4 linked regions of the Lonchura striata genome follow. The protein of the gene in region 3 purifies or fractionates together with the protein of the main gene of each other region. This does not show direct contact. Links are inferred from orthologs where the notes say so. Each region holds a gene or a part of one and is shown on either strand. Other genes may lie near its edges.

Region 1 (7,598 bases), on a different chromosome or scaffold from region 3:
TTTGTCTCCCAAATTTGCCCTAAACTAGGACACTGAGGTAAACGGGAAACCGATACTGGGGATAACTTCTCCTCAGTACTCCAGAGACTGAGAGGAGCAGAGATGCACAGACACCAGCTGGAGCCCCACAGAGGCTCTTGGAGCCAGTACAGAAGCTGCTGGTTCTACTCAGAACTCCAGACTGGCACTTCAGAGAGCAGCACCTCACAAAAGCCCACGTAAAGGAGAGAAAAATTACATACCTGCTTCAGCAAATTTGCTTTCATCAAAGACCCTGTTCTTCACATCTTTAGAAAAATGGAAGGTATGAATTTTCACCCCATCAATTTTGGGAAACAACAGAGCAAACCCAGCTTCGCCCTCTTCAATTTCTTGAGGCTGATTGCTACTTGAACCCATCGGGGTAACTACGGAGACAAAACCAAGGATCTGGTGTTCAGAGATTCTAATACAAGCATTTACACTAACACAGGCAGAAAGAGGTAGCTCAGGTGACATAAAACATGACAATCTAATTCCGTAACAACTTATCTAATTGAAAACTAACTTTTTTTTGTTAATGTTTTGGAAAGATGAAATGCTGGCTATGGATCATACTGAAGTCCGTTTTGACATGGAGACATGGATATATCTCCCCAGTCACACCAAATATAAAACATGAGGCAAACAAGAACAGTGCAATACAAGCCTTCCTGCCAACTTCTGCAAGCACACAGACATACTCAAGTTTTTAAGATGTCCTATAAGCATGTGATGACAGTATAAAGCAAAACTGACACAAAAATTGAGAGCGCATTATTAAAATATGGCAATGACAACAATCAAAATACCTTACTTATAATGTGGGAAGCAAATTTAAGGTGAGAAACCATAAAAAAACAAGTTTCTAATGATAAAAGTGGAGAATGAGAAAAAGCATGCCACAGGAGGCTGTGAACTTTCCAGTTACTGCATATGCCTCCTGCTAGACCATTTCCAACAGGTATATACTAGGATGCCCTCTACAGTTGGTCACAATATGACTGAAAATTATATATAAATCCAAGCAACATTCAGTAAGTACATTAAGGTGCCAGGGAAAGCTGCCTGCCTAACTGAATCAACCCTTTTAATTTTAACTGTAATACATGAAGTAAACACTACATCACTTAGTAGTGACACTGTGAACTCCTTAAAATTGAAACCAGTGCTGAACAGTGCTGAGATGACACCTTCAAGTTGACCTCTCAAAAACCCACACATTTTGCTCCTACCTACAATCCCTGGGGTGACCAGTCCAAGAACCTGACATCGCTTTGGCAACAACTTTTCAAGTGCGAGTGCTGTTTCTTTACTGTTCCTTTTTCTGGCTGTTAAAACAAGAAGAAACCAATACAACCATCAGACAGCAGTAAAAGTGTGCTCTGAGGCAATCCCACAGCCGATCCCATCCTGTTTAACCAATGCTGCCCATCCGTGGCTGCCCTGGTAACAGCACGCTGGTCTGTGCTGCTCCCTGAGAGCTGCCGGCAGGCAAACACGCAGCGTAAATGCAACACTACGCAGTCACGGATTCTGCAAAACATTTCCCTTCCACTGAAACCCAAACACAGAAAATTCCCTTTCAGCTGACTATGCTCTACTCACATCCAGTATGTCTTTAAGTGGGAGTGAGTTGGGTCCAGGCTTTACCTTTCTTTTGTTCGTGACACTCCTCGTGCCCGCTGAATGTCTCTGCATCAGCGATGTAGAGCACGGTCTGGGGCAGCACGTGCACCTTCTGCAAAGACACAGGTGGAGGAGTACATAGACAGGACTATAGTAAAAAAGGCAACCCCAACTAGGAAGAAACGATGATGTCTGGCTCCAGATCAGAAGGCTGAAGGACAGCTTTATAAAGTTACACTAGATTACACTAATATACTATTTAAAGAGCAACTATACTATTCTACATACGTACTTCTTACCTATCAACTAATTACCAACTAACAAACTTGTGACTGCCTGCTGAGAGTCCGAGCCACAGCTCAGTCCAGGTGGACACTGAACCCAAACAACCTTCACCAGAATCCAATCCAGCGATAAATTCAGGTAAACAATCTCCATACCAGATTCCACATGGGAAAAACAAAGGAGCAGAGATAAAGATTGTTTTCTCTTCTCTCTGAACTTCTCCTGAGAGACAGAATTACGTCTCTCTGTCCAGAGAATGTGAATGCCACAACAGGACAGAGTGGAGAGAAAGTGGGGGCAGAAACCGAGGATAAACAGCTCCTGCTCCACCGCCAGCCCATACTGGTCCCCTCCCCCTTACCAGACTCCTGCCAGCCAACAGATAACCTCTCATTAGCTTCAAAAGTGCCCAGAGGCATTTCTGCCCACAGGCAGGAAGCTGACCCAAACCTCACAGAAGGAAGAACAGCTCAGCAGACTGGCCCATGACTCTGTTTCCTCTTTTAGCACTATCTAAACTCATTGCATTCATGGTTGTTGGCCTCTACTGTCACCAGTGCTGATGCTGGTAAACAGCGTAGAGGTGCTTCCGGCCCATCTTGTCCCAGTTGATTTAACGCTGATCCGCTGAGGCTGTTTGCTGCTGAAGACCCGACACGAATCGTTGTGCGGTGAGGACCAGCAGCAGGCTGAACGGAGCGCTGCGGGCGGCGCAGTCCCGCGGCGTCGCTGTCCCAGCCCGCGCGTTCCGCCGCGCCCGGGGCGAGCCCGCGCGCCTCACCTCGAGCTCGCGCGCCAGCGCGCGCACCAGCGCGTGGTTCTCGGCGGGGCCCGGCTCCAGCGCCGACACCCACGCGATTCGCTGCCGCGTCCGAAGCGTCCGCCGGGCGCACTCCCTCCACAGCCGGCACACGCTGCAACACAACACCGACGCACCGCGTCAGCCGCGCCGCCCCCACCGACCGGAGCCGGCCGCCGCCCACCCCACTGTCCCGGCCCTTACCAGGCGGCGCGCAGCAGCGCCTTGGTGGGCAGGAAGCCGAGGACACGCTCCACCACCTCGGCGAGGTTGGCGAGGACGTAGCCGCCCTTCGCCGCGGAGTCCATGGCCCCGCCGCCTCCCCGGCCCCGCTGCCCCGCGTCACCGCGCCTACGGCAACTTCCGGTCAGCGCGAGCGGGGAGCCAGTGCACTGGCGCCGCCTGGCGGCGGGGAGGACCCGTCCCGCTCTCACCTCCCCCCTTCCCTCGCGCCCCGGGCCCCAGCACGGACACAGCGCTTCGTAAAATGCTTTTTATTCATAAACTTGATGCAAGTTTACAAATTACTGTACATTGCCGAGGAACTCTGCCAGAAGAAACGGAACCCCAACCGAAGCATGCGCCGCAGGGCGCAGGCCGGGGCCGCCCCAGCCCCGGCGCACCGGAACAACGCGCCCTGGGAGCGGCGCTAAACCTCGCCCAGCTCGCTTCTTTCGAGCTAAAAACTGGATCTACAAGCAAATGCACAAGGACCCGCGGGCGCCTGATAGAGAAAAGAGCATAAGTTCGATAGTCAACTAAAAAAAAAAACCAACATAAAAACATGCTTTTGCACTTCTGAAATGCTTAATCCATGGAACACACCCTTTGCTCGGCCCCGAGGAGTGCACACGCCTAAGGAATAGGAAGTACTACAACCAAAATAAGTCGATTCCGGTAAGGCAATGAAATTGTGTAAGTACACAGACCCAGACTCATCTCCTAATAAAGAAAGAACAGTTCCCATTAGTCTTTCAATAACAAAGCCACCGTCATGACTATGGCAGCATTTCTTACACCTCTAACTGGATGACATGTTTTCGTACTTTACTGTCGTTTTTATATAAAAAATTTTCATTCAAGGACTTTCATCTCATTTTGTGCCAATCACTTTATAAGTTCATTAGTTTAGAAATGATTGCAACAACCCGTTAATAAAATGGAACACCTAAAAAGGTTTTTAGTATTTTAAATAACTTCAAGCTTCATACTGTGGCTCTTGTTAAGGAGCTTGAGCCAACAAGTAGCAGGAACAGTCCAGCAAGTTCTGATGCCCCAGTGGACATGACTAGTTACAAGGTTTTATTGGCACAGCCTTGCTCTGCATAAAACCAAAAAACCAAAACAAAATTTAAAAAAACAAACAAAAAATTTAAAATAATCTAAACAAAGAGCATATTTTCCAATAAAAAGTTCATATTCTCATACAGCCATGAAAAATGTTTAATGACTTAACATACATGTGTTTTTCCTATATCATTAATTCGGAAAATACTACAAACGCTGTCATTTTAGACCAGAAAAACTACTGTGATTTGCAAGACCTGACATTTCCTAAAACAGTATTAAACAATGTATTAAACTTCTTGGCTTTAAATGAAACAATACAATGCAAGTCTCTGCAGTCTGCCTTTTGCAGAAAGTAAGAAATACACAGAAGTGTGTGAACAACTCACTCCTATTGTATGATCTTTAGTAAGTCAATAGCCTGCTGCAGGGAGAGTTTATGCTTTCAAATAAAAAAAGGGAGAAGGGAGGGTGTGGCCCAAATCTGCTTACTCCATAAGAACAAATATGGTAAAGGCCCAAACTGCTCAGTCCAGATGCCTAAGAGCGGAATGGTAAGGCTGTAACTTATACTGTACGTGTCAGTTGACAGAATATCCACTAACTTATCTAATAGCTAAAGTCCTCAGTACAGCTGTTATAGGGGCACTCATAGCTTGAGTCTGTGTGTTGGGAAACATAAAAAAGAGCTTGTTTTGTTGACATTGGTCCAGGTATACAACAGTCCTCAGCCTTAGCCATCTTCTTTTGGAGGAGTGTACCAGCCTGTGGAGAACAGAGAGATGTTAGGTACCAAAGCTGCTGTGTCCAGACCATCCTACTCTTCACCTGTGGGAGATGGAAGCCTAACCTGGCTCAGTCCTTCCCTCTTAAAGCAGGCCAGCTCAGCAAGACCCAGTGCCCTAAATGCGAGTAAGTCAGCAGTGCAAGACAAACTATGTGGCACATACCAGGATGTGACCTGGTATTTGGGTGTGCACACACAGATTTCTACAGCAGCAGCTATCCTGAGCTGGACAAGCGGAACACTAACAAGGGGAAGCTGCTGAAGGAGGAACATTGCTCTAACCAAACTTAACAGAAGAGAGGTAAAACCCACAAGTCTTCAAGCTACTTAAAACAGACATATAAACGTGACTGCACTGGGACACTTATTTTGAGTTCTGTAGAGTTAGGCATGCAGAAGCAACTGAATGGCTTATCCTACTTCTGCAAGTCTTACCATAGGAATAAGCTCAGAAATGTCAGATGGATAACTGGTCTCCTGGCCTAATTTGGCATGTTTAGCAGCTGAATCACACCTGATCAGGTGTGCACTGCTTTTTCTAGAGACCTCCAGAGCTCCAATCTTAATTCTCCCAGCCCCTCTTGTAACATTTCCTTTAAACGTGTACAGTAACTACAAGGCCTGTTTGTGCTGTCCCAGAGAGCAAATAGCACCTCTAAGCTTAAGACACCTTTCACAGCAGCACTGAGTACTGTGAAGGCTTTGTGTACAGATCCTGAGGCAGGACTGATCACTTGCAGCACATACAAGTAAACAGCCACGCTGGCTTTTGTAGCAGACGAAAAGGCAAAAGGCTCAGTTAACGGCAAGATCAAAATACTGTAAAATTTGAGATGATGTTAAATCATTATCTTTGATCTTCCTCCCAAGAGTACAAGGAACAAGTTATGTTCCATGTGAGCAGCAGGGAAGCTGAGGTGCTCACAAACACATTTACAATGACCTCAGTTCCTGGAGGACACTGTGTCCAACCCAGAGCCCTGAACAGCATGGAAGTGTAACTGCGCTGGCTCTATCATCAAAAGACCAGAGTATCAATTCTGCTGACTACCTTTATGTAACATGTAAGCTACTTAAACCTTTTATAGCCTCAAGCTTCTCATACTGCCACAGTAAATTCAATTGTACCTGAAGCATTTGTACACTTGTTTTATGCAGCAGAGATTTTAAAAAGCCCATACCAAAACACGCTTTTCCCTATTCTATTGTACACTTTCCCAGCTTGTACACCTCACTTGGACTTTTTGTATGTTTTAGTCTCGGGTCTTTTTTCCCTATTTTTTTTTTCTTTCATTAATGTTATTTCCACTAGGTTCTTGACACATTGAAACAAAATCTTTCAGGGAAAGGGATAAACTCCCAGCAGATACTTCACCAATATTAAAGAGTCCTTAATACTTAATGCTACAGTAACAATAAAGTCCCTAGATCAACTAGCTGAAAACAATACGCAGCTGCCTTTCAAGAAGCAGCAGGAACACACACAACATTCAAGTAAACTGGAAAAGTTGCAGTGATTGCAGTGAAGTTATTTAAGCACTACTGCTTTTCTAGTGCAAGAAGAAGGAAGAAACATTAATGGTCTTCCCAAGCCAAAATAAGACACTTTGTCACTTCAAGTTTCTCTGTGGCAAACACCAATTCCCAAGGTGCTGTGCAGACAAGAACAAAGTGGCAAGAATATACATACCATTTTTCTCATGTATTTGTACTAGTGACTTATAGGACTGCTGTGCTCTTGCTAGATTATATTGATTCTGAAAGGAGAAAAAACTAACATAAAAACCTGCATCTAGACATGAAGACTCAAAAACAGTTCTAACAAGGAAATTCTACAGTGGGCTTAAAAATAAACTCCATACACAATGTTATAACATTCCTGGCTTTCAGGATTCCCTTCTCAGAGCTGGAAATTCCAAATCTTCCCAATTCTAATCCTCCTTGCCTCCCCCTCCCTTGCCGATACAAGGACAGTAAAAGCCTACCCTGCCCATCCCAAGACTATCTAACTCATCTGCTTGTAATTACATAAAAAATGTTTAATTGCCAATAAAATACACATACAGGCACCCGCCAAGTTGAAATGCATATATATTTGCCATAACAATTTTGTCATTAAGCATCCTCAATGTGGGTCAGCAAGGAAATGGAATCCCAACAGGGATTTGTGTAACTAAGAAACACAGTACATTTACCTTATTGGCTCCAAACTGTACTCTGGCTTTTCCTTTGACTAAAGTGGCATTGATCTGCATGATGACTGATTCTATTGAGTAGGCACTGCTCCAGCCCTGGAGGAGGAAAAGAATGCCAACATACAACATATACTTGCTTCTTGTGCTCACCTTGCAAACCTGTTTTGGAACATGTGCTTTAGGATTTTTTTTCCTGCATTCAAGTTTTAACTACTTATTTTCAGTTAACATTTCTTTTCCACAGAAAATCTGTAAAATTATATACAGTCCTAGTACTAATAACTCGTAAGAAGAATGAAAAGGCTGAAGCACATTTCCAAAATATAGAAAGACAGAAACAAAAAAGCTCCATCCTTACAGCATTAACACTTTTTCATCAATGTCACAACAGAAATTACAACCCCTTTTTCCAAGAAGTAGGAAAGACTGATCTCTAATGAAGTCAATTCAGTAAGCTGTAGGAATTCTGCTCATCTCTGGTATTGCTTTACCTTCCACAGCTCACAAGAGTTTCTGCCAGAGCCTGCAAGTAAGTTACTTCATTCATTTACTTACTTTAAAGAGAAAAATCACTCTGTCTACAAAAATAATCTATGAC
Region 2 (8,032 bases), on a different chromosome or scaffold from region 3:
CCAAGCTGGAAAGGCACAGCCAGACCATCCCCGCGCTCCCACTCCAAACCTGTCACTCCTGGCAGATGTGCAGACTGCTGCATGCATTGCATTTCCTGAGATTAAGGACGGGATGAGGAGCACATCCCAACACCTCTGCAGAAGGTGCCCGACGCAGTGGCTGCAATCCCCAAATCACAGGTCACCCACGTTCAGCAGTGGGAATGAACCAACCCCACCTTCATTCCAAGCCCAGGCAGGGCAGCAGCACGTGTACTGCAGGTGAGCTCCCCTCAGGGCTGCACCAGCAGCCAAACTCTGGGAAAAACGGAGTCCCAGGGAATAAAGGCTGGAGGAAACTCCAATTGAAACTGAAAATCGTATATGCTGCGTGTTGATAAAATGATTAAATTGTCCAGAGCCTTTCTGAATCCAAGAGCTTCACCTGCCACCCTGGAAAAGCAACGCTGCCTGGGTGGAGTCACCTGTCAGGGAACACAGCAGGAAAAATACACACAAACATCCCTGCCACGCCAAAACAACCACGGGATGTGGCTCTGCCGCCGCCCGAGCACGGAGACACGAACTCCTGCAGAACAGCGTGGAGCCCAACACCAGGGAACAACACCTGTGCAAGGCAGGCACCACCCTGCCCTGCAAAAAGTGTCCACATCACCCCACGCTCAGAATGTACAGCCAGACCATTCCCGAGCTGGGAATGCACAGCCAGATCATCCCCAAACTGGGAATGTACAGCCAGACCATTCCCGAGCTGGGAATGCACAGCCAGGCCATCCCTGAGCTGGGAATGCACAGCCACACCATTCCTGAACTGGGAATGCACAGCCAGACCATTCCTGAACTGGGAATGCACAGCCACACCATTCCTGAACTGGGAACGTACAGCCAGACCATTCCTGAGCTGGGAATGCACAGGCTTGGAGGGACCTGGGATAGGGGAAAGTGCCCCTGCCCATGGCAGGGATGGTCTGCAAAGCCCTTCCAACCCAAACCCTTCTCGATTCTATGAAACAGCTGCAATTCTGCCCAAGATTTTGCTCTTTTCTCTCCCATTTGTAACACCAAGGAAATACCAAGCCTAGGCGGACATAACCTGAGGGAAAAATCACGGTTTTCAGCCTTTCTTTGGCATCAGCATAAGGAAAAGGAAGGAGAGATGGTAGTGGGAACACCCAGGGCTGTGGGAATGAGGAAACCTCTCACTCTGGCACTCGTTCTCCAGAAAGGCCAAGCCTCGGCTGCGTGGCTATGTCGCGATATAAAGCACTTTGTCAGGACACCGCGGCACCGCCCCCGAGCCGCGGCTTCCCTGGGAGGCTCCGCTCCTGAAGGACAGGTGGGGAAAGGTCCCTTCCCATCCAGGGCGGGGGTTGAGGTCAGCAGCTCCTCCGCGGGAATTCACCGCAATTCCCGATCCTTCCAGCCACGGGGAAGAGTTCCAGCTGCTGACCCGAGCCGGCTCCCAGGGATGATTAAAGCCAGCCGAGCACAAACCACATTCCCGGCGATCCCGGGGTTATCTCCCATTCCCCGCTCCCCTTTTGTTCCTGCTCCGAGCATTCCCTGGAGTTCGGGTCATGAACAGCGAGCCACCCCAGCCCTGCTCCCGCTCCTCCTAAAAGATTCCCGGCCCCAGTGACGGGGAAAGGCGAGTGGAAAAGCCGAGAGGCTGGGAAGGATGAGATAATGCAGCTCCTGCAGCGCTGCTCAGCCCAGCCCAGCCCCGCCGTGACAAGCACACCGCCCCAAATCAATCCCGAACCGCGCTCCCAAAGCCCCGAGCGGACACCGGCAGCGGAGACAATGGGAGCGACACCCCAAATTCGCCGGGGGTGCCGGGCTGGGCAGCTCGATCCCGCTCCGAGAGCGGGGCACGGACACGCACCCGGCGGCTTCAAGCGGGGACCGAGCCTCACCTTTGTTTTCACACGAACACAACGCGAGCTGAGGTTTTGGGGGGGCACCCACAGCCATGTCTGATCCCCCCTCTAAAAAACATACTTGCCCCCAAAAAACCATATCCCCCCCCACACACAAGCTGTTTCCTCCCCGACGAGCCATGCTCTCCCCCTAAAAGCCAAATTTCTCCCCAAAAAAAGCCATTTCCCCCCACCACCGGCACTGCCAGCCTGCGCCTTGGCACTGCCCTATGCCAGCACTGAATTTTGGGATAACAGGGCTTTTAGGGGGAAAATTGAGCTTTATTTTTTTTCCTTTTTTTTTTTTTGGGGGGGGGGGGCGGATATGTTTTTTTGGGGGGAAGGATGGAGTCTGGGGGACAAACCTGGCTTTTAGAAGGGAAACATGGCATTTGAGGGAAAACATGGCTTTTAGGGAGGAAAATAGAGGTCTTAGGAGAAAAATGTGTTTCTTTTGGGGGAAACACGAGGTTTTCTGGGGAAGCACGGCTTTTAGGGAGAACATATGGCTTTTCTGGGGAAACATGAGGTTTTTGGGGAAATGTCCTTTTTGGGGGGAAACATATATTTTAGGGAGGAAGCACAGCATATCGTGGAAGAAACATTGCTTTCGGGATGGGGGAAAGCTTGGCTTTTTGGGAAGGAAACACGGCTTTCAGCGGGGAAATACGGCTTTTTTAGAGGGCAACCCGGTTTTTAGGGGGGCAGGCTTCGCTTTCTCCCCGCCCTGAGGGAGCCCCGGGGCTGCCAGAGCTGGGAAGGGGCTTCCCCTTCCCAGAAGGGGCTGCAGCCCCCCGTGGGCTCTGCCCTCCGCAGCCACCCCCAAAACGCTGTGAGGGACTGGCACAGGGGCTGGCACAGGGGCTCCCCTTACCCTCCACCCTCAAATGTGGTTCCCCTCCACACCAGGCCTGTCCCGCCCCGAGGGGCCCGTCCCGCCGCCCCGCTCCCCGGAAAAGGGCCTCGCCCGGGGAAGGCAAACCGCGGGGCCGCTCTCACCTGCCGCCGGGCCGGGCCGGGCCGGGCCCTCAGGGCTGCGGGCGGCGGGGCCGCTGCGTCGCCCCGGTGACGGCTCCGACCAGCGCCGCCATCTTCCCTCCCCGCCCTCCCGCCGCTGCCCCGGCCGCGCCGGCCGCGCACTGCGCAGGCGCGGGACCGCCCTCGACATCACGTGACATAGGGCGGGCGTGGAGTGTCCTTATGGTGCCGCCATGATGGGAAGGTCAAGTGTTCGCTTGGCGGCGCAGCGCGGGGAGCGCCGTGTTTGGCTGGTCCCGCCGCCATCTTGGGACGGTCCTAGTGCCGTGGTGGGCGAGGCGGGCGGGCGAGGCCGCCATGTTGGGGAGGGCGGCGCTGAGGCGGAGATGCCGGGGCGGCTCCCGCTCCTTGTCCCGTTCCTTGTCCCGTTCTCTCCCGCTCTCTCCCGGTGTCCCGCCCTCTTCCGCAGCCCCGGGAGGCGCGGCTGGGCCACGGGGACCCGCTCTGCCCGCAGGCAGCCCCGCCGTGTCCCTGCGTGCCCCTCAGAGGCGGGGAGCGCCTGAGGGCTCGGCAGGGAGGCGGGATGTGGCCGTGCCCTCAGGGCTGCCCCTCTCCCCACGGCGGTGAGGAAGGGAGGGAGCGGAGCCCATTCCATGGGGGAGCAGCCCTGCGCGGGGCTGTGTCTTGGCATCGCGTCCCGCCGGTGGGACATTATTCTCCAGGGAAAAGGTGATCGCTGCCACCCTGCGTGTCCCACAGAGCCGCATCCCGCATGGAGGAGCCCGCGCGGCATCCCGGCCCCAGGGCGGCTCCAGGAGCCCGTGGGGAGCCGGGATCCACGGCGAGGAGCCCTGGGATGGCCCGGGGGATCTGTGCAGGGCTGGGATAGCCCGGGAGGAGCTGAGGGATGTCCCTGTGCAGGGCTGGGATAGCCCGGGAAGAACCTTGGGATGTCCCTGTGCAGGGCTGGGATAGCCCGGGAGGAACCTTGGGATGTCCCTGTGCAGGGCTGGGATAGCCCGGGAGGAACCTTGGGATGTTCCTGTGCAGGGCTGGGATAGCCCGGGAGGAGCCCTGGGATGTCCCGGGGGATCTGTGCAGGGCTGGGATAACCCGGGAGGAGCCAAGGAATGTCCCTGTGCAGGGCTGGGATAACCCAGGAGGAACCTTGGGATGTCCCTGTGCAGGGCTGGGATAACCCGGGAGGAGCTATGGGATGTGTCCCAGGTGTCCTGTGCAGGGCTGGAATAAACCAGGAGGAGCTATGGGATGTCCCGGGTGCTCTATGCCGGGATGGGATAACCCGAGAGGAGCCGTGGATATCCCTGGCAGGGTTGGGATAACCTGGGTGCAGCCCTGGGATGTCCCGGGGGATCTGTGCAGGGCTGGGATAACCCGGGAGGAGCCAAGGAATGTCCCAGATGTCCTGTGCAGGGCTGGGATAACACGGGAGGAGCTGTGGGATATCCCAGGTGTCCTGTGCACGGCTGGGATAACACGGGAGGATCTGTGGGTGTCCCTGTGCAGGGCTGGGATAACCTGGTCACACATGTGGGTTTTGTCTCCTGTGGGATTCCAGAGCTTCCCTCTGGCTGCCCTGGCACCCTGGCAGGGGTCAGGAACCCCCCTGGACAGAGCCCCCAGAGACACTGGCTGTGATCTCTGGCCATGGAAAAGAGTTTTCAACCTTACAGGATCAATTACCAGCTCTGAGTGTTTGATATCAGTAATAATTGTGGCACGGGTGCAAAAGTAAAATTTTAGATGAGGGGTCCAAAGGGGACAAGATGGAGGAAATTGGGTGTGCCTTGTCCTTTTTCTCCTTCTTCATGCCCTCCATGTTTCACTGTGGTGTTGGCATTTTTCTGTTGGTTTAGGCTGGGGACACACTGTTCAAGATAAATTATAAATATTGGCCCATTATTGTAAATATGGCACACGTAGTTTCTAATATATAATGTTTGTGATGTCCCACTAAAAAAAGAGCCCCACACCTATGGCAGGGCAGCAGAACATGTTAGAGATAAGCAAGAATAAACAACCTTAACAACCAACACAGACAAATTATGGCTTCTTCTTTAGCAACGGGACAAAAAAACAGAGACTTCCTACAATCTCAGAATCACCAATACCACAAATTCCAACGGTCTCCTTCCAGGTGAGCCCCCTTTTTGTGTGCCACAGCCATCAGTGCCTCATTCCCAACAGATCCCGCTTGGTTTTTTTGGGCTGCTCGGGCTCAGGCATGGCTGGGAAGGGGATTTTTTACAGCAGGATGGAAGGAAACGTCCCAGGGAGCGCCGCTGGAACACTGGAAGGGATGAAGCCAACCGTGCCAGGCTCTGGCTGCTGGAAAACTCAGCTCCTGTTGCTTCTGGGAAAACGCCAGAGGATGAGCAGGAACAGCTCCAGCCTGCTGCAGCTTCTCCTGGTGGGGGGAAACGCCGAGTCCCGCCCCGCTGAGCTGCCAAAAATGCACAAATCCAAGGATTTAATGCCCATGGAGCACTGCACAACCCCCAGACCCCCTCCAACAGTTCCACCTTGGATAAACATCCCCCCAAAATCCACCTGCGGCCTGTCCGGAGGTTCCCTGCCCAAATTTTGGGCTTGGCAGAGGAACGGGAGACTCAGGGTCGGGGCAGACCGCAGGGATAAGGATTTGTTTTAGCTGGAGGATTATTGGGATATTTTTAGGAGTCAGTCGCCATCTGCCGGCAAACTCTGGCTCTTAGGTGGGAATTTGGGGAAAAATTCGGATTTTAAGGGTTCTCCCACTCCCTGTGTGAACCCTGTGGGGTTTTTAGGATGCTGAAGGGGCGCTTTTTGAGGGAGGAAAAGGAAAAGCAAATCCCACTCCAAAAAGCTTTGTGTGGCTCGGAGTGCAAAGGACAACATCGGAGTGGTGAATATCTTGGATATAAATGAGAAAGGTTTAAGAAATTATGGGGGCTTGGGGGATTTTGGATGTTTCTGAAGGCTGGAGCTGATCCTTGTGCTCCATAAGAGAAGATTTGGGCTTAAATAAAGAGGCACAAATTGGATGGAAGGACACACGGACACCTGGATGTCTGCAGGAGGGACCAGAGGCTGGATTAGTGGCTGAAATAGCCTAAATTTGAGGAGAGATTTGTCCAATAACCCAAAATTAGGATAAAACGGCTCAAAATTAAGAGAAAAAACCCTAAAACTAAGATAAGAGACCCAAAAATTTAAGAGAAAACAAAACTATAGGAAAACAAACAAACAAAAAAGGCCCCAAAATTAAGAGAAAGCACAACAAAATCAAGGAAAATCACTTTAAGGGAAAACTCCTCAAAATTGTGGGAAAACACACCAAAATTAAGGGAAAGGCCCTAAACTTAAGAGAAAGCACACCAAAATCAAGGGAAATCACCTAAAAATTAAGGGAAAACTCTTCAAAATTGTGGGAAAACTCACCAAAATTAAGGGAAAGGCCCCAAAATTAAGAGAAAGCACACCAAAATAAAGGAAAATAATTTTAAAATTAAGGGAAAACTCCTCAAAATTGTGGGAAAACACACCAAAATTAAGAGAAAGGCCCCAAAATTAAGAGAAAGCACACCAAAATCAAGGAAAATCACTTAAAAATTAAGGGAAAACTCCTCAAAATTGTGGGAAAACACACCAAAATTAAGGTAAAATATCTCATTAAGGGAAAACATCTCAAAACTTCCGGAAAACACAAAAATTGAAGGAAAACACAAAAATGGAAGGAAAACGCCTCAGACGCACGCGCCGAGCGCGGTCCTCCCGGCCGCCAGGGGGCGCTGTGGCGCCCCGCCCCGCCGCCGCTTCCCGCCCTTTCCGCGCGCCGCGCGTGCGTTGCCGGGCGCGGGCCGGCGGGCGGCGCGCGCATGCGCGGGGCGCGGGGCCCGGCGGCGGACGGGAATTAAAATGGAAGATGAGGAGGTCGCGGAGAGCTGGGAGGAGGCGGCCGACAGCGGGGTGAGGGCGGCGGCGCGGCGCGGCGCGGCGGGTCCGGGGCGCCGGGGGGAGGCGCGGGCGGGCGGCGCGGCGCGGCGCTGCTTGAGGGGGCGGCGGCGGGGCGCGTCCGGCGGCGCGGCGGCCGCACGGCGCTGCTAGGCCTCTTAAAGGGACCGCGGGCTCGCTCGGCGCGGGGGGCTGCGCGCCGCCCCCAGCCCCGCTGCTCGCCGGTGCTGCGGGGCCCTCCTCCGAGCAGCTCCCTGCCCGTCCTCCGCTGCTCGGTGCGCAAACCCCCCTGGGCTCGCACAGAGCTCCGCTGGCCGCGGGGTGAGGCAGGAGGGGCGAGCGGAGCCGGGATGTGCGACCCCGGCGTGGCGGCGCCCCCGGCGGGGCTGCGGGCGCACACCCAAGGCCTTTCCCCGGTCGGAACGTGTTCCGTCCCCGGGCACAGCGCCGGGAGTCCCGGCCCGGGGCTGGGGCTGGGCCCTGCTGCAGCAGCGGCTCCGGAGCTGGGCTGGCATCGCCGCTCGGGGACCCGAGTCTGTGAGCGCTGTGCTTGCACATACAGCCGCCCCTGCGAGGGGAAACTCCGCCGGGCAAACTCTGCTTTCAGCGCTTTCCCGAGGATCAGAGGGCACGCGGACCTCCGGAGCCTGGACGGGACACTGTGGGCGAGGGATTGGGTTACAGCTGGCCAGAGGCAGGGAGCAAAATCCAGCCTGTAACCGAACGCCCGAGAGGGGCCAGTGCCAGGCTGGCAGCGCAGCCCTCGCCCGCCCCTCCTGCCAAGGCCGGGGGATCGGAGTTAATTCCAGCGCTCCATGCACGGACACGGCTGCAGCCTCGGCAGCCCCATGACTGTGGCCTTGAGTAATGGTTTAAAATGGTCCTGATGCTCCAATCCTGCCATGGAGCGTCCTCTCAGTTTGTCCTTCCTGCTGGTACCTCCCAGGTGCTTTTCCTTAGAAGGAGAAATCCCTGTCACTTGTCCTTTCTCACCCCTTTTGCCAGTCCAGACTGTCGGGAATTCGTGCTCATGACCTCAGCGGCTTGTGCTGATGAGCAGGGAGATTCCCTGGGGAATCACACAATCCTCGAAGTTGGAAAAGCTCTCCAGGATCGCTGAGTCCTCCCTGGGCCCAATCCCCACCTTGTCCCCAGCCCAGAGCACTCAGTGCCACACCCAG
Region 3 (7,078 bases):
GGAGCACAGGGGTGCTCATGCATAGAAGGGATAACTTCAAGCCCTTTCTTGAAGCGGAATGGAATCAGCCTAGCATCCTCACGGTAACATACTGGGATCCCTCTGTCCTGACCGTGTTCCTCTGTATCAGCTGCAGCTGATTGTTAGGTGTGGTGTGGGACCCACTGTGTCATTTGCTGAGCCCGCAGGCACAGACCCAATTGCTTGTTTGTTCATGTGTGGGGAAAGGCTCTGCAGGAGTTTGGGCAGAGTCAGTATGTATCGTATCGTGGGTTTTGCAAGCACCCACTTTCCTGCAGGCTGCCACAATGGTTGCATGTTATTTTAGTTATCAAGCAGTTCAAGGTAAAATGCCAAGAGAAAGGAAGAGCAACAATCAGTCACCATCCCATTAAATGCTACAACCTGCACCTCTCTCAGAACCTTACCTGTTCCTTTTAGCCAGTTCGGAGGCTCCCATTCTCTCGTGAGGTTTTAATAATGGCTTATAAAGACAGGGGTACTATATGGGCTTTAATGTGACCATCATCTGGAAAACATACACAGAGGTAGGGTGTTTGGGTTTCCACAGAAAGCAAACACAGTGTGGTCCAAAAATCTATGGGATATATTCCTTAACGTACCCCTCTGGCTCTGTCCTCTGAATTCAATTTCCCTATGCCAAGCACACTGAATCAACTGGAGATGCTACAGAGCCTTATACAAAGCTTTGCTGGGAGGTTGTTTGCCTACTTCTTGAACTTTGAGATTGTGGCAACACAGAATAACCATAGATGCAATATTGCCCCAACAGTAATTTATGAATGCTGTCTGTGGGCTTGTGCATCCAAAAGCAAAGGGTGCTAGAAATCCCAACTTGGACAACTCAAATAATTTTACTAGCATCAGCAACTGGAAGGCAGCCAACCAGTCAGCCCTACAGTTCTTTAAAAAGTAATAAAGTGCACCTGATTTATTTCTGCTTGATGCTGCTTAGGACACCATTGAAACCATACCTTAAGCAGGTAGCACTGAGATGGTGAAGCAGAGAATGGCAAGAGAAAACTTGAGGTTTGTAAGCACTTAGAAAAGGGCCATCTCCCTCTTTGCTCCTGGCAGTCTTGGAAGGCCCATACTTAACTCTCAAGACACTCACTCTGAAGAGTGTTTGAAAGTTCTGCAATTCTCTTTCAGACCAGCTCTTTTCCTAACTAACCCAAGTGCCCCAGAAAGATCCTGTCACACTGGAGGACCAGTCATGATAACTGCTCATCTTTTCTGCGGCTGGAAAACAGAATGCAAACAGCTCAGGCAGTGAGGACTAAGCAGATCCACCTTTTCTGTCTGCATTTTCCTTCTAGCTCAGTTCTGGGGGATCCTCCCGCTGCCATGTGGATCCCTCTTGCCCCGGAGGGTCAAGTTGTGTCAGTATGGCCACCACCAAGCCTTCTGCACCACCTTGTGCAGGTGCAGAGCCAGGGCTGCAAGCAGCCACCGCTCCAGGAGCAGTTCCACAGCAGTCCAGTCAGGAACACGCATTCAGAGTGCATGTATGGAGGAGGGAAGCATTTGAGGGATAAATCCCACATAGGATAATGTTTGTGACTGTAGAAAAATAAACAACAAACCACCAAAAGAATGAATATAAAGGAGAAGGGCAGTGACCAAAATACAAGACATTGGTTTTGAAAGGTTGGTGGTACATTGCCTTTAGGAACAGTCTTTGACAACTGGGAGAGAGTTTGTGTCATTTTAATTGGGACTAACCATATTCACAGCAGTTGTCACATGTCACCTAGTCTGTCTCGCTGCCTTTTCAATTTGGCAGCCTTCTCTTTTTCCTCCTGCATGTCCCAGAGGTTTGAGAAATGATCCATTCTTCAAAGCATCCCTGGTAATTTGGACCACAGTGTTATACTTCTTTTGAAACTGATGCCTTTCAAAGCTGCAGCCTTTCTTCCTGCAGCAGCTCCTGACAACCCTCTATAATATATAGCCTTAAGAGGGGAAAACAGGTCTGAGGAGATACACTTTTACTAGAAGGGAAGACATTAGAGACAACACTAAAATGAAAACAGATTATTTCAAGCAAAGAAGGTAGCTTAGCCATTTTTATGAAGTGCAGGACTATACTGTCACTAATTTCACTTTGAAAAATGTACTGGAGATCTCTCAATGCACTTATTGGTAAAATGCATCTGCATACACAGATCAGTAATTATGAACTAACTAAACATGGAGATGCAATATGTGTTCTGTCCTGCACCATGTTTGCTGTCTTTCTTGTTTTCCTAACACTCCTACCTTTTTAGCAAGACTTAACTCGAGATCTGTGTTGTTACGTTGTTTTTTCTGCCAGATAAGGAAAGATAAATCCAGAGCACGTGACTGCTGGCTGTATGGCTTTACCCCATTGGCAACCACCTCCCCCTGGTGATATCAGCTGAAGTGGTGAGACTACAGTTTTATACTACATTAGTCACTTCAAGTGAAAATGAATGTTAACATCTCTCTGGTATGTATATGCCCTAGTCTACGTGTTTGATCAATGTCCTGGTTTCTTGAGAAATGTCTTGCTGGAGACGTTGCCATACACATTTAGAAATTAAGGTTAGTATTGGTGCTTCTATTAATAAGAAATCTTGCAAATTCTGATTTGAAAATAGCTATTTTCTAGAAGGTGAAAAGTATACTTTCTGAAGAACCCAACTCCCCTTTTCAAAATACTCCTTTGCAATAATCCTGAATATGGAGCAACAGGACAGAAATCTGAATTTGTGCAGCTGCAATTTATAGTGATAGAGATGCCCCATAACCAAGCAGTATCTGGGGAAAGGGGCAGTTCAGTGAAATGGAAGCTTACCATGTAGGTAATGAGAGGCATTAAAGGGTGTTTACATGAGGGAGGGCATTTTTCTTCTTCAAACTTACCTTTATTGCCTATGCAACTTTCAGGCTCAGCCTGATGCTGCAAATATTTAGGTATGTGCATAAGTCAAGGCACAAGTGGTACATGTCTTTTAAATATTAATCCAAATCCAAACATTAAAATAATTCAAACACATCCAATGCCAGCATCATCTCGTTCTTACTGTAGGTCCCTACTTTAAGTTTAAGTCTATTTGGAGACTGTCAGACACTCCACCCCAGCAAGGACTGGGTTTCAGGAAAAAGCTGTATGCACACAGCAAGACGGGTAGAATGGAGGCAAACCAGAACGGTGCTGTTGGGCCCAAGTATTTATGAGAAGTAGAGTACAGATATTGCTTGCCTGTATCTATGCAAGAGAATGGCCTTTTAGTGCTTCTACAAACTCCTCTTTCCAACATCCATGGACCAGCAGTGTACAAATAGATTTAGAAGGGGTGGCTCTGCAGAGAGATCGCGTCTACAGGGACCTGCAAAGCTGGGTGAAATTTCAAGATCTATAGTTGTCCTGCTGGGGAGTGTATTGCCCTCAGTTTCCATATCATGGAGAATACTACCACTGACCTTGTCGGGAAGGTACAGACAGAGGAAGCTCCAAGAATCGGCCACCGTGCCTGTCATCTCCTCTCCATCCTTGCAAAAGAACAGGCAAGGCCTGGGCAACTCTGGCAGCACCTTTAAATCCATATTGATTGTAACTATTGTAAACTCAAATCGCACGCTGTAAGGTGCGCGTCCTGTCTTCAGCAATTCCATGTTCCTTTTTAAAAAACTGGACTTGCGGGAGAATAAAGGGCTACAGCGGCAACACCGCCGACCCCACTTCGTCCTGCCTCGATTACGATGGGCGAAAACAAGTTAGAAGTCTACTGAGGGCTGAAGCCCCTCATGTGAAGAGGGCGGGGGGGCAAATCCCAAGAGACTGTAGGGGGACGCTGCACCGAGAGCCCGAGGGCTGCGGGCAGAGGGATGAGGTAACTTTGGCGCGGCCCCGCCCTTCCCACCGCCCTCAGGAGCGCGCTCACGTGATCGCGCCCACGTGATCGCGCCCTCGGCCCCCGCACCTGCCGGCGCGGTGAGGGGCGGTGGGGGGCGTGGCCATGCGGTGACCCCTCCCAGCGCCCCCGCTCCTCCGGCCCCCCGGCCCCGCCACGCCCCGCCGCGCCGCGCACGCGCGCAGAGCGGGACGGGCCGATTCACGCTCCCAAAATGGCGGCCGCAATGGATGTGGACACTCCCAGCGGAACCAACAGCGGCGCCGGCAAGAAGCGCTTCGAAGTGAAGAAAGTGAGGCCCCGCCGGCGCGCTCCTCTGGCTGCTCCCGGAGGAACGGGGGTGGGGCTGGGGCCGGCTTGATGCCAGAGAGCGGGACGGAGAAGGGAGCGAATTCCCGCTCCCTTTACGGAGCCGGGCGCCTGGTTCCGCACCGGAGCGGTGGGAGGGGCGGCGCGAGGCCTGCGGGGAGTCCTGGCGTGCGTCCTAGCCAATGGCTGAGGCGGGCCGCCGCACGTGCAGCGGGAGCTGGCCAATCAGCGGGCGCCGCTGGTGGGGGCGGGAGCAGGGGCGCCGACGGGCCGGGGGCGGCCCTGTCCGGGGCTCTGCCGCTCGCCTCCTCTGACGCTGCCGCCCCGACAGGACAGGCCTCGGCTACTCCTTACCCAGAGCTCGGGCGGGCGAGCAGCGCTGGAGTGCTTCCAGCTCCCCATCACCCCCGGCCGCTGTGGCGTGGCCCAGCCGCCCGGGCTGCCCCATATGCTGCGTAAAAAGCTTTCTGCAAATGTCTGTGGCTGACTTTTTCCTCCTTCTTACATAAATCGAGCCATAACAACGTATTAGTGAGCAAATGTTCTCATGCCACCCTGGCTTTGCTTCCTCGCTCAGAGCAGTCATAATATTGCTCTCCTATCCAGTGCCACCAGTTTGTCAGCTGGGTCATGGTGATGGTCTGAGGCTATTCACGTGGGTGTAGAGAAGCAGGATTAGATTGTGTGGGCTTGTACTAAGGTACAATTTGAGGAAAAGTGTCTCCTAGACTGAATATCAGTAAACATTTCCAGTGATTCCTGCTTGTAGATATATTTGTTTAAAATGCAGCTGCCATCAGTGATGATGGAAACCCCTGGATATGTGCAGAAGGAAGTGTTTGGGTGACATAATTGCTTGTCCTTTGGAAATAGGGACAAATATAATCAGAGTGGTAGGAAGTAGCAGCATTTATATGTCAGTGTCATTCCTGCTCCCCAGCAAGGTATCAAGACCTTTGTTGCATGTGTGGCTCAGTACAGGTGTGTGGGCCATCAGAGTAGACCATAATGGGACAAGAGATTAAGTATTGGAGTGTATGGAAGAGATAAGGGTGCTGAGAACTTTTATCTTAGCTGCTTGAAGTATGGATGAAGTCCATGAGGACTGAATACTTCAGCCAGAAGGCCAGCTAGTCTTGAAGTTAGAAGACTGGGAAGAAACATGTGATCACTACTGGTGCATGTCCTAAAAGATCTAGTAGTATTGTGACTACTTTTTATATCTGTACTAATGAAAAGTTGAAGAGCTTACCCAAGTGTGAAACTGCCTATCAATACTTGGAACTCAGTGTTCCTTCTTTAATGTCCCAAACTGAGGGAAAGCAATGAAAACATTGAGATGGAAATGGAACACAGTAGAGAAGATAGTACAGTCAGTGCAAATATATACTGAAAAAATGTAAGGGGGACAAAAATCTATACTACGTAAGTCGTAAATGAAGATTATCCTGATACCAGTACAATATTTTGGATTGTTTTGGATATTGAAGGCAGGCCCATTTATTTAATGAGTTTACAGAAGACCTGATTATGAGTTTTGTCTGGAGGCATAAAAAGGTTTTTCTGCATAGCTTGTCCTAAAATTCTCAAACCCCCTGAAGTAGCATGTGACAGTGCTATTACTTTTTTGTATGTATAAAGTAAGTCTTCGAAAGATTGATTTGATAGTACTTTGAAATTTTTATATCCAGCCTTGCCGATAGGTTGTTGCTTATTAACCTTTTGTAGGGAACATTATTCAGGAGTCAGTGGAGAGTAGCATTAGAGATTTAGTTCTTGACCCCAACTGCTCAGAAGGATGATTACTAGAAGAACTGCCACAAATAATAGGAATTCCTCTTAACAAAAATTACATCTGAATTGGTCTTTCTCCAAGGGGCTGTCCTTTCTTTCAGAATCTAGGGTTTGACATGAACTACTTCCTTGGATTCCATTGGATCTTGAATAGAAATCCAGATGTTTGCATTTGTTTCACAGAAAAAAAAAAGTGGAAGGGGGACTGTGGGAGTTACCTTCTTTTTCAGGTGGGAAGGAGACGTATCTGGGAGGTTTGTGAGAGGAATGTACCACTGCTTCCTAGTAACCTAAACTCTTGATGAGGAATTGTTCTGGACTTCTAAGATTTGTTTTTTCCTTAATATCCTAGCTTTTCTATTTCAAAAAGTACCTGGTATCTTGAAGAATAGCAAGGATTGCTGTCCAGCGTAAATTGAATCACAACTGTTTTTCTTTTTCCCCCCTCTCTCCAGTGGAACGCCGTAGCTCTGTGGGCATGGGACATTGTGGTTGATAACTGTGCCATTTGCAGAAACCACATTATGGATCTGTGTAAGTACATGGGGAGGGTCACATTTGGACTTGTATGTGCTGAATAGCTGAAATTACCCCAGCTGAGGATATAACTCAGCACAGTTTTCAGTTAGTAACTAATTCTTCTGCTAATCTCTATTTTATGTAATGCTGAAGTCTCATAATCTATTTTTGTGACCTCTGTCACCATACTGTTTCTTCCTCACCCTTTTCTCATAAAGGGTAGGATCACTTGATGCCATATCAACAGACATGATGCTGTTGAATGTATTTTGAACACAGCAAAGGAAAAAAGGAGTAATAATAAAGAGGAACTGAAATTATTCAGGGTTGACAGGCATTGCTTACAAAGAAAGATCTTATGAGCTGGGGAGGTTGCTATGAGTGTCAGCTTCTTGATGATACTCATTAAGATGAAGTCTTGTAACACTCTCTGTCTATCCTGGGCAAGGAAAAGCATGGACCAGCAAATTAATTTGACTCCTCGTTCTATGAAACATACCTTATCTAACTAACTTAGCACATGTTATAGTAAGGGGAATTTTGTAGCCACCTAG
Region 4 (7,223 bases), on a different chromosome or scaffold from region 3:
ACCTCATTGATTTCATTCTGGAAAGGAAAAAGGAGAAAAGAATTGGTGAGGCTGGTTTAACACACAGTTTGACAGCAGGAGAAGTTACCATGTATGGAGAAGGAATGGTGTGTCCTCAGGGCCACCACAGCTCCATGAAAACATCTGTTTTTCTGCCCCTCCCTTTTTTCATGGCCCTTTAAGGGGCAGAGAAAGGCAAGACACAAGTTCTAGTAAAAGTTTGGCTAAAGTGCCAAAAACGCCCAATAAATGATCACTTTGAAGACATATGCCCATTATTAATTTCACCTGCAAGATTTCAATCCCATATGATGGGAAAATGAACAAATATTTTAAATAAAACTGAATGGAGATGATGTTGGTTTCTTTCATTACTAATATAAAAATGTTTTTTTTAATATGAACTGTTCCTCCTTTAACTAATTGAACAACTCAAACAAAAATATGAAGCTAAATCCATCCATTTAAGCTAACAGCTAAATGCAATACACAGATTTTTTTTCCCAGATGTATTTTGTTTGGTTTAATTACATAACTATTACATCTTCTTTCTGCAGTTATCACAAGATTTATCTTTGCTCTTATCCTGTCTGGATATTCAAAATTTTTATATTCTCTAATAGAGAAAGAGCTAAATCAGCTGATTCTGACCATTTCTATGTTACAAGTTTTGCTCTCCAGTATTTCCTCTGGTTTCTGTTCCCCCTCCAGGTGTTCCTGATCATTGTCCATCAATCCTCACATACAAAATCAGCTGCTCAGTTAAAACCCATCTCCACTGTTTGCCTTCAGAAGCTCGGTATCATCTCTTGTCTCTTCCCTAACCCTGGTACCTTTGTTTCTTTGTTGGTCTTTCCTATAGCTTCTCATTCAAATCTGGACCATTTGCAGAACCAAAGTAGAATAGAGGGGCTATTCTGGGTTTATTTAAAGCAGTTACTCAGGGAAATCCCAATATAATGTGGTGGTGTGGTTTTTAAACCAAAGTATATTCTACACCAGGCAAGTGTTTAGACAACACAAACATGGGCAATGTTCCCCATCAGGTCTTTTAGCAACAAAATATCACTGCACACACACTGGAACCTTCCACTTGTTCTGAAGTTAGTTAAAGCAGGAGCTGCAGCCAGCCCTGCTGCTGCCTCCCTCCTCATCCCCAATTTCCCTGCACAAGCAGCTCCTTTTCCCTGCCCCGTGCCGGGGCCGCCGGCTCTGCTCCCCGCCGCGGATCCGCAGGATCTGTTTTGCTTTCGCGTGCTGTAAATCCCACCCGTCTCCAGCGGGGACACCCAAGGAAAACACAACGGGAACCTCTCGGCGGCCACATGCCGGCAGGCTCCGAGCTGGCCAGATGTGATCCCGCCCGGCTCCAGCAGCCGCGGAAGCGCTCCGGAGCCACGGGCTGCCCAAACAAATCACAGGAGCCACTGGGCAAGGATTGTTAGCTCCAGGCTTACGAGCTCAGGCACGGCAGCACCGCGGATGTGCTGCTTCCAAACTGGGCTTGACTCGTGTCCAAGCAGCAGATCCCGGGCTGGCTGGATGCCCACAGAGGGCTCACTGCAAGGACTGAGGGCTGCAGGCACAGCGGTGCCGACACAAGGCTCGACACCGACGGTGCTCTCGAGGAAAGGAGGGAAAAAGAGCAAAAAACAACTACATAGGCTTTCTATAAACCGAGCTGCAAGAAGATTTATACCCTGCTTCAAATAAACCCAGAAGTGCCTTTTTTTTCTGCTTTGGCGCTGCAAAGGGTGCAAGTTTAAATGAAGAGTAGCTGTAGAAGAAACCTACAAAGAAGCAAAGAAATGGGGGTTAGTAAAGTGCCAGCAGGGAGGGGATGATCCCGATTTGAGCACAAAGTCATACTGATTCCATTCCAATGCAATCCTAACATTAGGGGCAGAGCCGGGTCTTCCCACACCCCCAAAAGTTCCTGCAGCTTGTCCTCAGCACAAGGAAGCAAGGATGTTAAGTCAGCACCAGTCTGTCTAAAAGTCTACTGGAATGAGTCCAAAACTCATATACAACCAGCCCCTCTGAGACAGATTCGGGCTCCTGTGTGCTAATGGAGCACTAATTCTGTAAAATGGATTAATTTGTGCCTTGCAGACAGAAATTTAATCTGTTCCTTTTAATTTTTTTAAGCAAAGAGTAATTAGTCATAGTGAGGTTAGTGAGAAACAAGAAAATGGGTTTCCCCCCTAGTTTTCCTATACTGTAAATAACATCTCTATGGCATTTAGAGGATTTACCAAAATAACTTTTATGTGGTTCAGAACTGTATTTAAGACTATTTCCAAATTAACTCCTTTATTTAGAATTAAAGCTTGTTTTCTTACTACGCTGCTGTGTCATAAGGCAGGATATCCTTAATTACTGCACCCGCATCAAACTGCCTGGGTAAACAACAAAAATCTTAAGAGGAAAAAAAATATTATTTCATAGAGTCACAGCATATGTCGAGTTAGAAGGGACCCTCGAAGATCACCGAGCCCAACTCCCGACCCTGCACAGGACACCCCAACAATCCCACCCTGTGCCATTACACAGGACAAGCAGATTCGGAAGGGTTAAAAAAGTTAAAGGTTAAAAAGGACCTATATTCAGAAGCTGAGGTTATAATCAAGCACGCAGGAACACAAATCCAACTCCCCTTCGCTCGCCGCCCCTCAGCCGAGCCCCTCTCCGTGCCCCGGCACCGGCCCCGCGCCCGCCCTGCCCGCCGGGGCCCGGCCTGTCCCCGGCACGGCCCCGGGGCCGCCCCGGCCCGCGCAGCCCTACCAGGTCTCGGATCAGCTGTCCCAGCAGATCGTCCCCATCTCCGGCTCCGTCCCCCGCGGGCTCCGCGGCGGGCCGGGCGGGCGGCGGGCTGCGGCGGGCCGGGACGCCGCCGGCCAGCAGCCTGCGGGCCAGCGCCAGGTACTCGGGCTCGGCCGGGGCCTCCCGCGGGGCGTCCCCCGGCCTCTCCGCTGGCTCCTGAGGGGGCTCCTCCCGCCGCCGCCGCTTCGCGGCCCCGGCCCGCTCCTCCTGCCGCCGGGGCCGCTCCCGCTCCGCCGGCACCGCGGCCATGGCGGCGGGGCCGGCCCGGCGCGGCACGGAAACCGCGCCCCGCGCCCGCGCGTTCCGCCGCCACAAGGTTCCGCCGCCGCCGGGAGCGCGGCCGGTGCCCGGGAACGAGCCGGTGCTGGGGCCGGGGCCGTCGTTTTGTGATCTCCACAACGAGGGCGGCGATGGCGGCCTCAGGGCCCGGCCTGGCTCTGGAGAGCGGCGGGGGCCGAGCGAGGCTGCGGCGATGGCGGGGTCGGTCTGGGCTCCGGGCCCCGCTGGGAGCCCTCAGCCCCCTCACAGCCATGGCCGGGGATGGGGCAGGGTTTCACTGGGAGCCCTCAGCCCCCTCACAGCCATGGCCGGGGATGGGGCAGGGTTTCACTGGGAGCCCTCAGCCCCCTCACAGCCATGGCCGGGGATGGGGCAGGGTCCCGCTGGGAGCCCTCAGCCCCCTCACAGCCATGGCCAGGACAGGGCAGGGTCCCTCTGGGAGCCCTCAGCCCCCTCACAGCCATGGCCGGGGATGGGGCAGGGTCCCTCTGGGAGCCCTCAGCCCCCTCACAGCCATGGCCAGGACAGGGCAGGGTCCCTCTGGGAGCCCTCAGCCCCCTCACAGCCATGGCCGGGGATGGGGCAGGGTCTCACTGGGAGCCCTCAGCCCCCTCACAGCCATGGCCAGGACAGGGCAGGGTCGCGTTGGGCATCCAGAGCCCCGCTGGGATCCCTCATCTCCCTCACAGCCATGGCCAGGACAGGGCAGGGTCTCACTGGGAGCCCTCAGCCCCTTCACAGCCATGGCCAGGACAGGGCAGGGTCTCACTGGGAGCCCTCAGCCCCTTCACAGCCATGGCCAGGACAGGGCAGGGTCTCACTGGGAGCCCTCAGCCCCCTCAGCCATGGCTGGGACAGGGCAGGGTCTCACTGGGAGCCCTCAGCCCCCTCACAGCCATGGCCAGGACAGGGCAGGGTCTCACTGGGAGTCCTCACAGCCATGGCCAGGACAGGGCTGGGTTCCACTGGGCACCCAGAGCCCCACTGGGAACCCTCAGCCATGGCCGGCCCCACTGGGAGCCCTCATCCCTCTCACAGCCATGGCTGGTCTCATGGGAGGGTTGTTGCCCGTGGAAGTGGCTGCTCTGAGTGATCAATGTACCTCTCAGAGGCCATTTTCCCCTTTCTCTTGGGCACGTCTGAAGCTGAGCAGGTGGGCAGGGCTGGCACCCCCGGGCAGGTTTCCCCCACCGCTGCTGTGCCCACCACACCTGCTGGGATGGTGTTCTGCTGCTTGAATCACACCCACCTCCTGCAGCCACCACAGCCCGAGAGCTGCCACTTTGATGGCGTTTTGGGGAGGACACGAAGTTGGCTCAGCTCCTCTCCACAATCAATGCACCTTGGTGCTCTAAGGCTGTGTTCAAATGATGCTGAACCGCAGCTGCAAACTTCTGCCACTTCAGCCAGTCCAGCTGCCCAGGAAGCAAAGAGGCCATGAGTACTCAAGTCACCAGAATGATTCCTGAGGAGCCCGCAATGAAGTAGAGCAGCTAAGTGATGTGTTGGTGTAAGTCAAACAGCTGATCCTTCTAGAACTGACTGTAAAACACAGCCCATGCTGTCAGCAGCAGCTTGTGCAATTACCCCCACCCTGGTGTCCACCTCTGCCTTCCTCACTGGCCACTTGATGCTTCCTCTTCTCTACAGCTGGTTGCTGTTTATAAAACCCAACTTAATGAACATGAACAGTGGTCCAAGAAGAACCCAAACTACCTCATTTAGGGGAGGAGCTCCTGTACGTATAAATCCTGCAAAAAGGACAGGTGGGTGAAGGCTGGCCTTGCCTTGGCCTCTGTGCTGGACCCCAAACCCCTCCTGCCCTGGGCTGAGCCCCCAGTGTGGGCAGCAGGAAAGGAGGGGGAGATTCTGCCCCTCTGCCCTGCTCAGGTGAGACCCCACCTGCAGAGCTGCCCCTGGCTGGGGGGTCCCCAACATCAGCAGAACCTGGAGCTGCTGGAGTGAGACCAGAGGAGGAGATGCTGCAAGGGCTGGAGCCCCTCTGCTCTGGAGCCAGGCTGGGAGAGCTGGGGGTGCTCACCTGGAGAGGAGAAGCTCCAGGGAGAGCTCAGAGCCCTTCCAGGGCCTGAAGGGGCTCCAGGAGAGCTGGAGAGGGACTGGGGACAAGGGATGGAGGGACAGGACACAGGGAATGGCTTCCCAGTGCCAGAGGCAGGGCTGGATGGGATATTGGGAATTGGGAATTGTTCCCTGTGAGGGTGGGCAGGCCCTGGCACAGAGTGCCCAGAGCAGCTGTGGCTGCCCCTGGATCCCTGGCAGTGCCCAGGGCCAGGCTGGATGGGGCTTGGAGCAGCCTGGGACAGTGAAAGGTGTTCCTGCCATGGGAGGGGTGGGATGGCATGAAGTTCAATATCCTGTCCAGCCCAAACCAGTCTGTGATTCTGTGACTTGTTTTCCCTACAAAACAATCACTTGCAGGGACCTAGAGGAGGTGTCTCCCTGGGGTGCACGTGCTGGTGAGCCCCGCCAGTGCTGGGATTGCAGACCAGGATCTGCCCCTGCAGCAGGGTGTGGGGCTGCTCCAGGGAGGGTGGATGGGCTGGGATGATCTGCCAGGAGGTTCGCAGCAGCTTCTCTGCAAAGCCGGGGGGAAACAGGGCCAGTTTGGGGTGATTCCTGACCCACGGGGAGCCCCCCGTGTCCATCCCAGGGCTGGTGGGTGCAGGGAGCCCTGCCCGGGGGTGCCAGCCCTGCTCCCATGCCCTGGCAGCCGGGGAGGCCCGCGGGTCAGTGCCGGGGGCTGCGCGCTCCTGCCTCGGCCACCCGAAATGTGATCCGAATCCGTAATGCTGTGGGTGATGAAATCGGCTCCAGCTCTGTGTAATCCCCTCACTGCCCCCCTGCATCTCCTCGCTGTCCCCTCCTCCAGCCCACAGTCATCTGCAGCCTCGCACTGTCCCTCTATCCCCACGCCATCCCCTCTGTCCCCTCTATCCCCACATTGTCCCCCATCCTGTCCTCTCTATCCCCAGTGTCTCCTCTATCCCCACAGTTCCCACACTGTCCCTCCACACTGTCCTCCGTCCTCTATCCCACACTGTCCCACCTTCCTCACACTTCCCCTCTATCCCCAAACTGTCCCTCTGTCCCCACGCTGTCCCCTCTATTCCACACTGTCCTCTCTATCCCCAAATTGTCCCTCCATCCCCACAATGACCCACTCTGTCCAACCTTCCCCACTGTCCTCTCTGTCCCACACTGTTCCTCCATCCTCATGCTGTCCTCGCATTCCTATGCTGTCCCATCGAACTCCCACCCTGCATACCAGACTCTTCCACCACACAAGCACTGTTCTCTCCACTCCCAGTCCCACACTGTCATTCCATCCCGTGTCCCTGCATCCCCGTGCTGTACCCTCCGTCCCAACACTGTCCGTCCGTCCATCCATCCATCCATCCATCCATCCATCCATCCATCCATCCATCCACCCATCCATTCCCATATTGTCCCACCGAACTCCCACCCATCCCTGGATACCAGAATGTCCCACCACACCAGCACTGTTCCCCCCAGTCCCCCCCATGTCCTTCTATCCCCACACCATCACCTGCATCCCTGTTGCTGTCCCTCCATCCCCACTCTCCCTCCCATCCCTCCGCCGGACCCCAGACCGTCCCACCGCCCCACCGCTGTCCCCCTGCCGCCCACCCCCGCGCCGTCTCCTCGCTCCCCCCTCTCCGCCCGCGGCCGAGCACCGCCCCGCGGGGGATGATGTAACCCCCCGTCCCCCCCGTGTCCCGCCCGCGTCCCGCCCGCCGCACACTCGGCGGGCTCGGCGGCGAGCGGACGCAGCCATGTGCCCGTGCGCGCTGCGCGGCCCCCCCGCGCCCTGCAGCCCCTGCGGCCCCGGCCGCGCCGCCCGGCCCGAGGCCGCCGCCCGCCGGGTCGCCGCCCGCCTGCGCCGCCTGGGCGATGAGCTGGAGCAGCGGCGCAAGGCGCGGGGCCGCGGCCCCTCGGCCGCCCGCCGCCTGGCCGCCGTGGCGGGGCTGCTCTGCGCGCTCACGCCCGCGGCCGCGCTGGCCTGGCTGATCCGCAGGAGGAGCCTCTAGGGAGAGGGGCGCTGGACGGAGCGGGGAGCAGGCGGGACGCGCAACAGGTGG

The links.
Region 1: the proteins of RBX1 (region 3) and FBXO22 purify together in Homo sapiens (affinity purification with mass spectrometry; 4 studies listed by BioGRID). This does not show direct contact. The link is inferred for Lonchura striata from reciprocal best matches to the Homo sapiens genes RBX1 and FBXO22.
Region 2: the proteins of RBX1 (region 3) and FBXO42 purify together in Homo sapiens (affinity purification with mass spectrometry; 4 studies listed by BioGRID and IntAct, with this or other methods). This does not show direct contact. The link is inferred for Lonchura striata from reciprocal best matches to the Homo sapiens genes RBX1 and FBXO42.
Region 4: the proteins of RBX1 (region 3) and FBXW8 purify together in Homo sapiens (affinity purification with western blotting; 6 studies listed by BioGRID and IntAct, with this or other methods). This does not show direct contact. The link is inferred for Lonchura striata from reciprocal best matches to the Homo sapiens genes RBX1 and FBXW8.

Annotation. Positions count from the first base shown.
Region 1 is NC_134613.1:4,671,229-4,678,826, reverse strand, and holds the start of FBXO22 (F-box only protein 22), read right to left. Parts: upstream 3,094-7,598; 5' UTR 3,040-3,093; coding exon 2,936-3,039; intron 2,847-2,935; coding exon 2,714-2,846; intron 1,760-2,713; coding exon 1,672-1,759; intron 1,350-1,671; coding exon 1,254-1,349; intron 408-1,253; coding exon 243-407; intron 1-242. Other genes in the region: UBE2Q2 (ubiquitin-conjugating enzyme E2 Q2), read right to left, coding at 4,752-4,783, 6,496-6,562, 7,001-7,096. UniProt on the Homo sapiens protein: Substrate-recognition component of the SCF (SKP1-CUL1-F-box protein)-type E3 ubiquitin ligase complex that is implicated in the control of various cellular processes such as cell cycle control, transcriptional regulation, DNA damage repair, and apoptosis.
Region 2 is NC_134626.1:6,609,907-6,617,938, forward strand, and holds the start of FBXO42 (F-box only protein 42), read right to left. Parts: upstream 3,004-8,032; 5' UTR 2,919-3,003; intron 1-2,918. Other genes in the region: SZRD1 (SUZ RNA-binding domain-containing), read left to right, coding at 6,816-6,866. UniProt on the Homo sapiens protein: Substrate-recognition component of some SCF (SKP1-CUL1-F-box protein)-type E3 ubiquitin ligase complex. Specifically recognizes p53/TP53, promoting its ubiquitination and degradation.
Region 3 is NC_134607.1:24,896,918-24,903,995, forward strand, and holds the start of RBX1 (E3 ubiquitin-protein ligase RBX1), read left to right. Parts: upstream 1-4,060; 5' UTR 4,061-4,116; coding exon 4,117-4,194; intron 4,195-6,460; coding exon 6,461-6,539; intron 6,540-7,078. UniProt on the Homo sapiens protein: E3 ubiquitin ligase component of multiple cullin-RING-based E3 ubiquitin-protein ligase (CRLs) complexes which mediate the ubiquitination and subsequent proteasomal degradation of target proteins, including proteins involved in cell cycle progression, signal transduction, transcription and transcription-coupled nucleotide excision repair.
Region 4 is NC_134620.1:3,366,078-3,373,300, forward strand, and holds the start of FBXW8 (F-box/WD repeat-containing protein 8), read right to left. Parts: upstream 3,076-7,223; 5' UTR 3,073-3,075; coding exon 2,785-3,072; intron 18-2,784; coding exon 1-17. UniProt on the Homo sapiens protein: Substrate-recognition component of the Cul7-RING(FBXW8) ubiquitin ligase complex, which mediates the ubiquitination and subsequent proteasomal degradation of target proteins.